Linked DNA regions of Canis lupus familiaris. The protein of the gene in region 1 purifies or fractionates together with the protein of each later gene. This does not show direct contact. Links are inferred from orthologs where the notes say so. Each region holds a gene or a part of one and is shown on either strand. Other genes may lie near its edges.

What was found.
Region 2: the proteins of ATXN2 (region 1) and LSM12 purify together in Homo sapiens (affinity purification with mass spectrometry; 4 studies listed by BioGRID and IntAct, with this or other methods). This does not show direct contact. The link is inferred for Canis lupus familiaris from reciprocal best matches to the Homo sapiens genes ATXN2 and LSM12.

The regions. Positions count from the first base shown.
Region 1 is NC_049247.1:9,346,561-9,350,378, forward strand, and holds part of ATXN2 (ataxin-2), read right to left. Parts: intron 2,135-3,818; coding exon 1,925-2,134; intron 1-1,924. UniProt on the Homo sapiens protein: Involved in EGFR trafficking, acting as negative regulator of endocytic EGFR internalization at the plasma membrane.
Region 2 is NC_049230.1:19,181,566-19,185,839, reverse strand, and holds the start of LSM12 (protein LSM12 homolog), read right to left. Parts: upstream 2,966-4,274; 5' UTR 2,853-2,965; coding exon 2,729-2,852; intron 922-2,728; coding exon 788-921; intron 1-787. UniProt on the Homo sapiens protein: Nicotinic acid adenine dinucleotide phosphate (NAADP) binding protein. Confers NAADP sensitivity to the two pore channel complex (TPCs) by acting as TPC accessory protein necessary for NAADP-evoked Ca(2+) release.

The DNA.
Region 1 (3,818 bases):
TAGATATTTGGAGAAGAAATTTGTACTACATGAATTGTGAAAAATTCTAGATCATTAATTGTCACCATGTTAGTGACTTCCATTTCTAGAGAAAGTTACTCTGCATTTGAACAAAACAATCAGGTGAAATCAGTAGACAAAACAGCTCTCAGTGGAAAAGCCAGGCAGTACTAATATTCAGCAAAACTTGTTCTTAATGTCAAAGCCAATGGTTCTCATTTTGACCTTCCAGTCAAACTCTTTTTTTTTTTTTCCAAACTCTTGAGCATGTCAAATAAACTTGTGCCCTCAGTAGGAATTTAATCATGGACACAATCTTAAAAAGAAATGTTAATGTTATATATTTTAGTTTTCAACTGAAGAAATGATTTATATAAAAAATGACTTAAGAATTGGGTATCTACACATCATATATATTTTTTTATATCCATTTAGAGAAAAAGACCAAGAAGTCATAAGACTTGGTATAGCTCAATGAAATTAAACTCTAACTTGAAAAACAATTCTTTCTTTTTGGTAATATGTAGAATACAAACTACTCTTCTATATTAAACACAGAAAACCACTGTGAATTTAATAGTTTATTTAATAGTTCTATGTATTTAATAGTTCTATGTTTGAAGTTCACACTTTAAAAATGTGTGTCACCTGACTACATAACTGGAAAACATTTTAATTCAAATTAGTTAAAAAGACTGCATAATGTAGCAGCTCTGAATGTGCAAAAGGTATACTTCTGTGTAAACAGTCCCTCCATAAGCAGCCTACAACTTGTTGTAGTGAAGATATTCATACTCACTAAGGAGTCCTATTTTGTTCAAACAATGCACTACAACTAATACTAAAACAGATTTTAACTTTTCATTTAGTGGTTACCATTACCAGCACTTTCCAGCAAGGAAGTCACCTTGAAAATCAATGCAACATGCTGTTCAATGTTAGCCACTTAAATCAAGATCACATGACCTCCCTCTCCCTAGATGGCAACAATTTATTGAAAAGTAGCCAACATAGCTTTCTCCAGGGAAGCACTTTATGCCAGAAAACGGTCTTAGTCTCAACATAAGCTATATCAATTATGATTTTAATGAACAAATCAGATTAAAATGTTAACACAAATACCCTGAGATAGCATTAAAAGGACTTATCATTCAGGAAGTAGCTTTTTTTAACATATGCACTGCATTTATATTAAAATGTGACCTTTCTATAATACCTTCATGTATTTGATATATATCAATGGTGGTATTACCATCAAACATTGCATGAGAATTAAAGGATTTTTTTTTGACAAGGACAAATGGTTTTTATTAACAATGTTTTATCTTAGATGATCAAGGACTTCTTTCAGATTAAGACTTTCACTAGAACATATTACAAAGGTAATTTTCTTAAATTCCTCCAATATAAAACCAATCTCTGTATTATAATCTAAGAGTAGACACACAAAGGCAGCTATATGGAATGTCCCTCTCAAAAAGAACCCCTAAATCACCACTACTGCCTATGGCCAACAAGTAGGTTCACTAGTACCTTGGCCAAGGAGCTGTAAAATGATAGGTTCTGTAGTAAGTCCAAGACCAGGTGAACAGAGTTCCACTGTTTATCATTAACCACTGTTTATAGTGTATATTGAGAGGGACAAAAACATGAGGTAGACCTTCTGGGGCTGTAAAGGATCATCATTATTACCAAAGATAAACTCCCATTCTTATAATCCAAGATAGTTCATAGCTTCACACAGCATTTATTCAATTTCTCTCTAGTGAACAAAAGGTTAATAGAAATAGTTTTAATAAACTAAAGTTAAAACACGGAAATTATAGGTTATTAAATAATGAAGAGGAAACTATTTTGTAATTATAAACTCACATAGGAGTTAAACAAAGACAAACAAAAACATGAACAAATTGTGGTATTGTACCTTCTGAAGACATGCGTTTAGGCATAGTAGAGACAGGAGCTGGAGAACCATGAGCAGAGGGGTGAGACGGGGGTCTGGATGGCCGCGAGGGGGGCCTGGAGGGCGGCCGTGTAGGGGTGGCTGCCCGAGGTGGAAGAGAGTTGGGACCTGACTGGTAGCGAGAAGGTGGGCGAGAGGAAGGAGATGGGCAAGGCGATGGCCAGGGAACACCTGACAGAACAAATGATATGAAGGAAAGTATAAAAACTAAAGAAAAAAATGAGGGAAAAAAGTAAACAGAAAAAAAAGTAAAATGACAAAAATGATTTCTTGTACATTTTAACCCTTTGAGGACAGTCATTTGAATTGTGATAAGTTTTAGCATAACTTAACTCACATGAATTCACATTTTACTTTAACCTCCTTAAAATTAAGTCTGTTTAAATGAACACACGTTCCCAAAGGGTTAATTAGGATCTACACATACTATTGAAGAAGACAGTTAAGACTTTGCCTATTAATCCTGCTTCTATAACTGTTTCTCAATAATCAATTATTAAAAGGAATATAACATAAACTAGATAATTTCACACAATAAATCACAAAACTTAGAAATAAGACTACTTACTATATTAGTTTTAGCTTTTGAAACATGAAAATAAGCAGCAACTAGTATATCCCATTAAAAATGCTGGGTTTTTTTATAACCATCTGTGATTTTCATATAGTTTATACTTGAAGGTAAAATTCAGTTTGAAATCTCATTAAGCAAGTCCATTTAGTAGAAATAAAACATTACTTCTATTTTTTAGAGTCACAGGAGTGACAAAGGTTAATATTCATCACCTTTTCAAAAAACATTTTGATCTTATCAAATTAGAAAAGGGGGGGGGGCCTGCTAAGCAATTTATGCAGTTGAACACTTATTTAAGTGACTGCTTAATAAACAATGCAACTATAGAGCAGTCATCACCAAATAAATTGACAATAATGGATATGCAAAGATCAAGATACACTATGTGTAACATTACATAGCACTTACCTTATCTCAGGAAACAGTCCAGGTCTCCTCTCCATAGGGTTCCACACACTTGAGTATCATACATTTCCTAGCCCCCTTCAGCTTTTTACTTGAAAATTCTGTTCATGAACAACTAAAATTCTTTACTCAGTGAGCAAAGAAATTTCATCCCCAATACTAAGTACAGAAAATACTCAAGAGTGTTTATTTGGAGAGGAATTCTGGAGAAAGACTCAACAGAAATAACTGAAATTGGAAACTTAGTGTTCTCTACTTTTCTAACTTTCTGAACCTAAACGGCTTAAACTGAATGTTCACTTTGTCCCTTAGGTTAGTAAGATAGTATTGCTGTCCAGTATTCCTGACTCACATGAAGGATCCATGACCTATAAGCTATATTCAATCTTAGATTTAGAGGCAGAGCAGAAAAATATCTTCCTACTAAAGATGCAAATCTGTCACTGTACTTACGCTAAGCTTCAATATCCACCCTTTGACTAAGAGTTGTTTTTTTTTTTTAAACACATTTCTTGAACTTCATCTTCCTCACATGACTCTTGGTCATGTCTTGTATGTACATGTATTTGTATACCTCAAATCCTTTCTTGGAAGTAAGCAGAATATTAATGGGTCAACAGTTAATAAGAATTAATCTATATGAACCACTGTTTCACACAGACTAAGATTTTCCATATAAACTATGTCTAAGTAACTTTGTCATCCGGTGTTTTTAAAATTGAGAACCTACCCAAAGTTTCCAATTTCTTTAATATGTGGAGTGTTTTTCGGTCAAGTGAGTATCTGTTAAATTTAGCACTTTATCTTAATACATATTTCATCACAGTATCATATATGCCAATGACTTACACTAATTTTACTAATTTGATATCCACA
Region 2 (4,274 bases), on another chromosome or scaffold:
AATAATGGGGGCAAATTACTTTACTTGGATGATCAGAGAAGACTTCCTGGAAGAGGTGCCATTAACAAAGTCCTGAAAGATGAGGCTCCATACATTCTGGAAATAAGAGTGTTCAAAGTACAGGACAGCAAAGACGACAGGACATGGAGTAGTATTATTTTTATAATACATGAAATTTTGCCTGATAGAACTCATGAGCCAAAGTGATTTGGGGGTGTAAGATTAACATGTAAGATACCAACATGTAAGATACCAACATGTAAGATTACTCTAAACATCTAATTCTGTCAGACCTCAAAATTCAAACATAAAGACAAAAATGAAGCTTTAAGGCAGTAGTTTTCAAATTTTTGTAGGTCATGAATCACAGATCTGCAAAATACTCCATATGTTCACCAAAACCATATATATTCATGTGTGCACACATACACACAATTTCAGGAGGTTCACAGACATCACCCCTACCCAACCCCACTAATACCAGAAGTTCACGCACGGACTCCAGGTTTTTAGAAAACAAAACAAAAAAAAACAGCCCTCTTTCACTAAGGACAAAAGTAAGTTTGCAATTTTATTTCTCTATTTGGGCATTAGAAGGTTTCTTAAGTCTGAAGGTACGCAGAAATAAGGAGAAACCTAAACCGGTATGTTTTTCAAAAAGGTATCAGAACAAACAATTTTATGTTAATGGAAAAAATGAAAAACAACAGACAATGTATGTATCACCAAGAGCCAAGGAGTCTCAATGTTTCCCATTTTGGAGCCAGAACTGCCCGCAAGTCCTTACCTTACTAACATTGAGTGAAGCTAGGGGAGGAGGGGTTTCTGTTCGGTCATTAATTATTTCCACTTCTGAAACATACTGTAAGTTTATGAGCAAGATATCTGCATGGTTGGGCTTTCCACTGGAAGAGGGACATTCTGGTGAAAAAAATAAAGTTAAGGAAAATAGAGGCAAACAGCACTGACGCATCCCAAAAGGGGCATGGAAAACAACTGAAATGAGGCTGGTGTAACAGGTGTGCCACGAGCAAGAAGGGGGAGCATTACAAGAATCCTAGCTCTCCTCAGGAAATCTCTGCCTGTCACCTTCCACCCGCTCAAAACCCCAGAACCAAAAGATCTCAAGCTTTTCAAAGCCAAATACCATCCAAAATTGGAAGCCTCAGAAAGGGTTTCCGTCACCTCTCTACTGGTTGTATGGAAGCATAATGCAGTGTTAATGCCATATATAGAGTTTGTCTTGGACCTAAGGAACCACACAGAAGAGGCATTACTCTCTGTTCTTGGTATAATACTTTCATCTATATACTGCTCTTTTCACTTTTTTCGATTTCAGATTTCCCATTCCGCAGAGGAGAAAACTATAGGACTGGAAAGGAGGCTCACTCAAGGTGAACCCAGCTACTTAACCCATTTATCTATATATGTATTTATTCATTCATTCATTCACTCACCCCTCCTCCAACTATTTATCAAGAGTATATTATATGCCAATTAAAAATAAAGTAATTCCTCATTCCAAAATCCTTCCAACTAACCCACTAATGTAAAAGGTCTTATTTGGTCCAGGTCTGAGTTTTTACATTTTACCCAAAAAAAGCAACAGTTCTTGCTGTAGAGGACATCTTCCTAAGCTAAAAATATCTACAACTAGTGGTTAAATAAATTAAAATACTTGCCACTCAAATGCAGCATTCAGTAGAAAACTTCCTTTTGAAAGATGCCATAAAGGATTACTCCTCAAAAAAATAAACCCACCTGTGGCTCAAAAAGAGGGGAAGGGGTGGTACATTTATTACAACCAGGAACTATTTTGTTTCCAAGACTGAGTTTCCTGGAGTAATTCAGAAATCATTTCCACCCCAAAGAAGCAGGCCTTCTTTTCCATTCTGTTAATCACCACCACTTCCAAAAGGGGAGGCAACTACTATGGAAAAGTCAGGACTCCATGTGCTGGGCTGAGCAAGGGAACGTAACTTACTCTTTCACCTGTAACCCACACAACCCTACACGAGCCCCTAAAAACCGTGGCCTTCTCTCTGGGACCAGGTTTCCAATGGAAACATTCTCAAAACAGCAATTTTCAAATGACTGAGAAACCTCATTCAGTACTCCCCGCCCCCAACAGCACCACGCACACACACACACCAGCAAAATAAGCCCCTATCCCCATTTCAGATACAAACTGTCCTGCAGTTACTCTCCCCCCAAAGCAGGCGAGGCCCATTTGGTCACCACCCCACCGCCGTTCCTTGAACCAAATCCTCCCAGCAGACACCCCCTCCTAAACTCCATACCCCAGCCCTACTAGCAGCTCTTTACTCTACACACCCCCTCCCCACATGATTCTACCCGCCCCCCTTCCATCCGGGCTCCAATCCACCAGCCCCCTCCCACGACCACCCTCTCTCTCTCTGGAGCACTGTATCGCCTCTCACAGCGTTTCCCCCGAAAAGGCATCCGCGTGTCAAGCCCCCCTCCACCCACTGACCCTCGCTCGGGGCCCAGCTCCCACAAGGGATGGGAGACAGGGTCCCCAAAGCGGACCGAGGGACACGCGAAGAGGGGGAGGGGAGCTCAGGGCCGTGCGCATGCGCTCCGGGCGCCGCGGTAGCCGGTCGCCCCTAGGCCCGGAGAGGGCCCCAGCCGCCGCCGTCGTCCCCCACCCCCCCACCACCACACATACACGCCGGCCCGGGCTCGGGCTCCGCGCAGCGAAGGATACTTAAAGCCAGCATTTTGGACTGGTAGTCGAAGGCTACCACCTCGCCCTGCAGCCGCTGCTCCTGGCACGTCCGGCACGACACCTGGCTCCCAACGCTGAAGTACTCGCCCGGAGGAGCCGCCATCTTGGGAGAGCAGCCGCGGCCGGCGGCGGCGGCGGCAGCAGCGGGCGAAAGCCGGGCCCCCAGTGAGCGCCGCGACGCGACGCACGAGGCGTGCTGACGTCACACGCCAGGGCGTGGCCTGGCTCTGGGTGGGGCGGGAGCCTAGGTGGAAAGGGAAAAAAGAGGAAATAAAGGGGATCTGAATAAGTGTTTGTGCAACTGCGCCCGCTTATAAAGTGCTTGCAGAGTCCATTTTAGAAGTTAAAGATAAATGACCTACGTGGCATGAAAAGAGGAAGGAGAAGGGAGCTGCAATCTCTATTATGTGCACACCTTGACACAAGACTTTAATGAATGAACTCTATTTTACATAGAGTAATCTGAGGCCCAGAGGTCTTAAGGAAACTTGCCCAAAACGATTATACCCAGTTACAAAGTACTAGTGGGAAGAACATGGCCTATAGGATTAGCTAAACTAGGATCGGAGTCCCAGGTCTGCCACTTAACTAAGTTCTATAACCTTGAGCAAATTACTAACCCTGACCCTGTATCATTACTTTTTCTATATTATTACTTACTGAGCATCCAACAATCTATTGAGGTGAGAATCAACATCTTCAGTTTACAGATGAAGAAACAAAAGTCTTAGACTAAACTTGGCTGAGGTCGCACAACCGGAAAGAATTCGGTCTACCTGTTTCCAAAGACGGTGCAATTTACTGCATTAAATAATACCTCCTAGAGTATTAGGAGGTTAAGTGAGATAATGTGTACAAATGAATGCAGTTCCTCCATGATCGCTCATCACCCTTGGAACTCAAGATGCTTCCACATCTCCTCCCATCTTGTCCTCTCTAGAAAGCCAGGCAAAGGGCAGGAATGTGGAGCAGTGGTAGTGACAAAGGTGGCCTTGGGGCAGTTTTGGCCCTCCCCCATTAGTGTCCATCTGATATACGAAATCCACCTGCTCTCATCCCCCATAGAAATTCTGGAGCCTCATTTATGAGTAACAACAGGTTGATCTTTCTCTAATCCAGAGGGAGGCAAAGGGCCAGCCTTGGCACTACCTAACCTGAACACAGTTCAAAAGCGTTTCCTTACCCTGCAAGAAACATCAACTTCCTAATGTTGGGTGTTTATTAGTACAATCATTGTAGTAGGAATAAAAGTACTGCTTGCTCCCTCTTAGTTGTGTTTTTCCAGGGAACTTTCAAGTCTGACCCCCACAAGTCACATGTAACTCCCGCTCCACTTTCTACATGGCATTGTGATTACAGTTTTTCATATATATGACTGCCCGGTACTGTTAGGAAAAGCTTCCCGGAGGAAGTGAAAAAAATCTGAGACCTGAAAGACAAGCAAGATCTCTATAAGGAGAAAGAGCTTGGTGATTTCAAGGAACATAAAGCAATTCAGAAATATTATGAAATGGAGTTGTGGGGG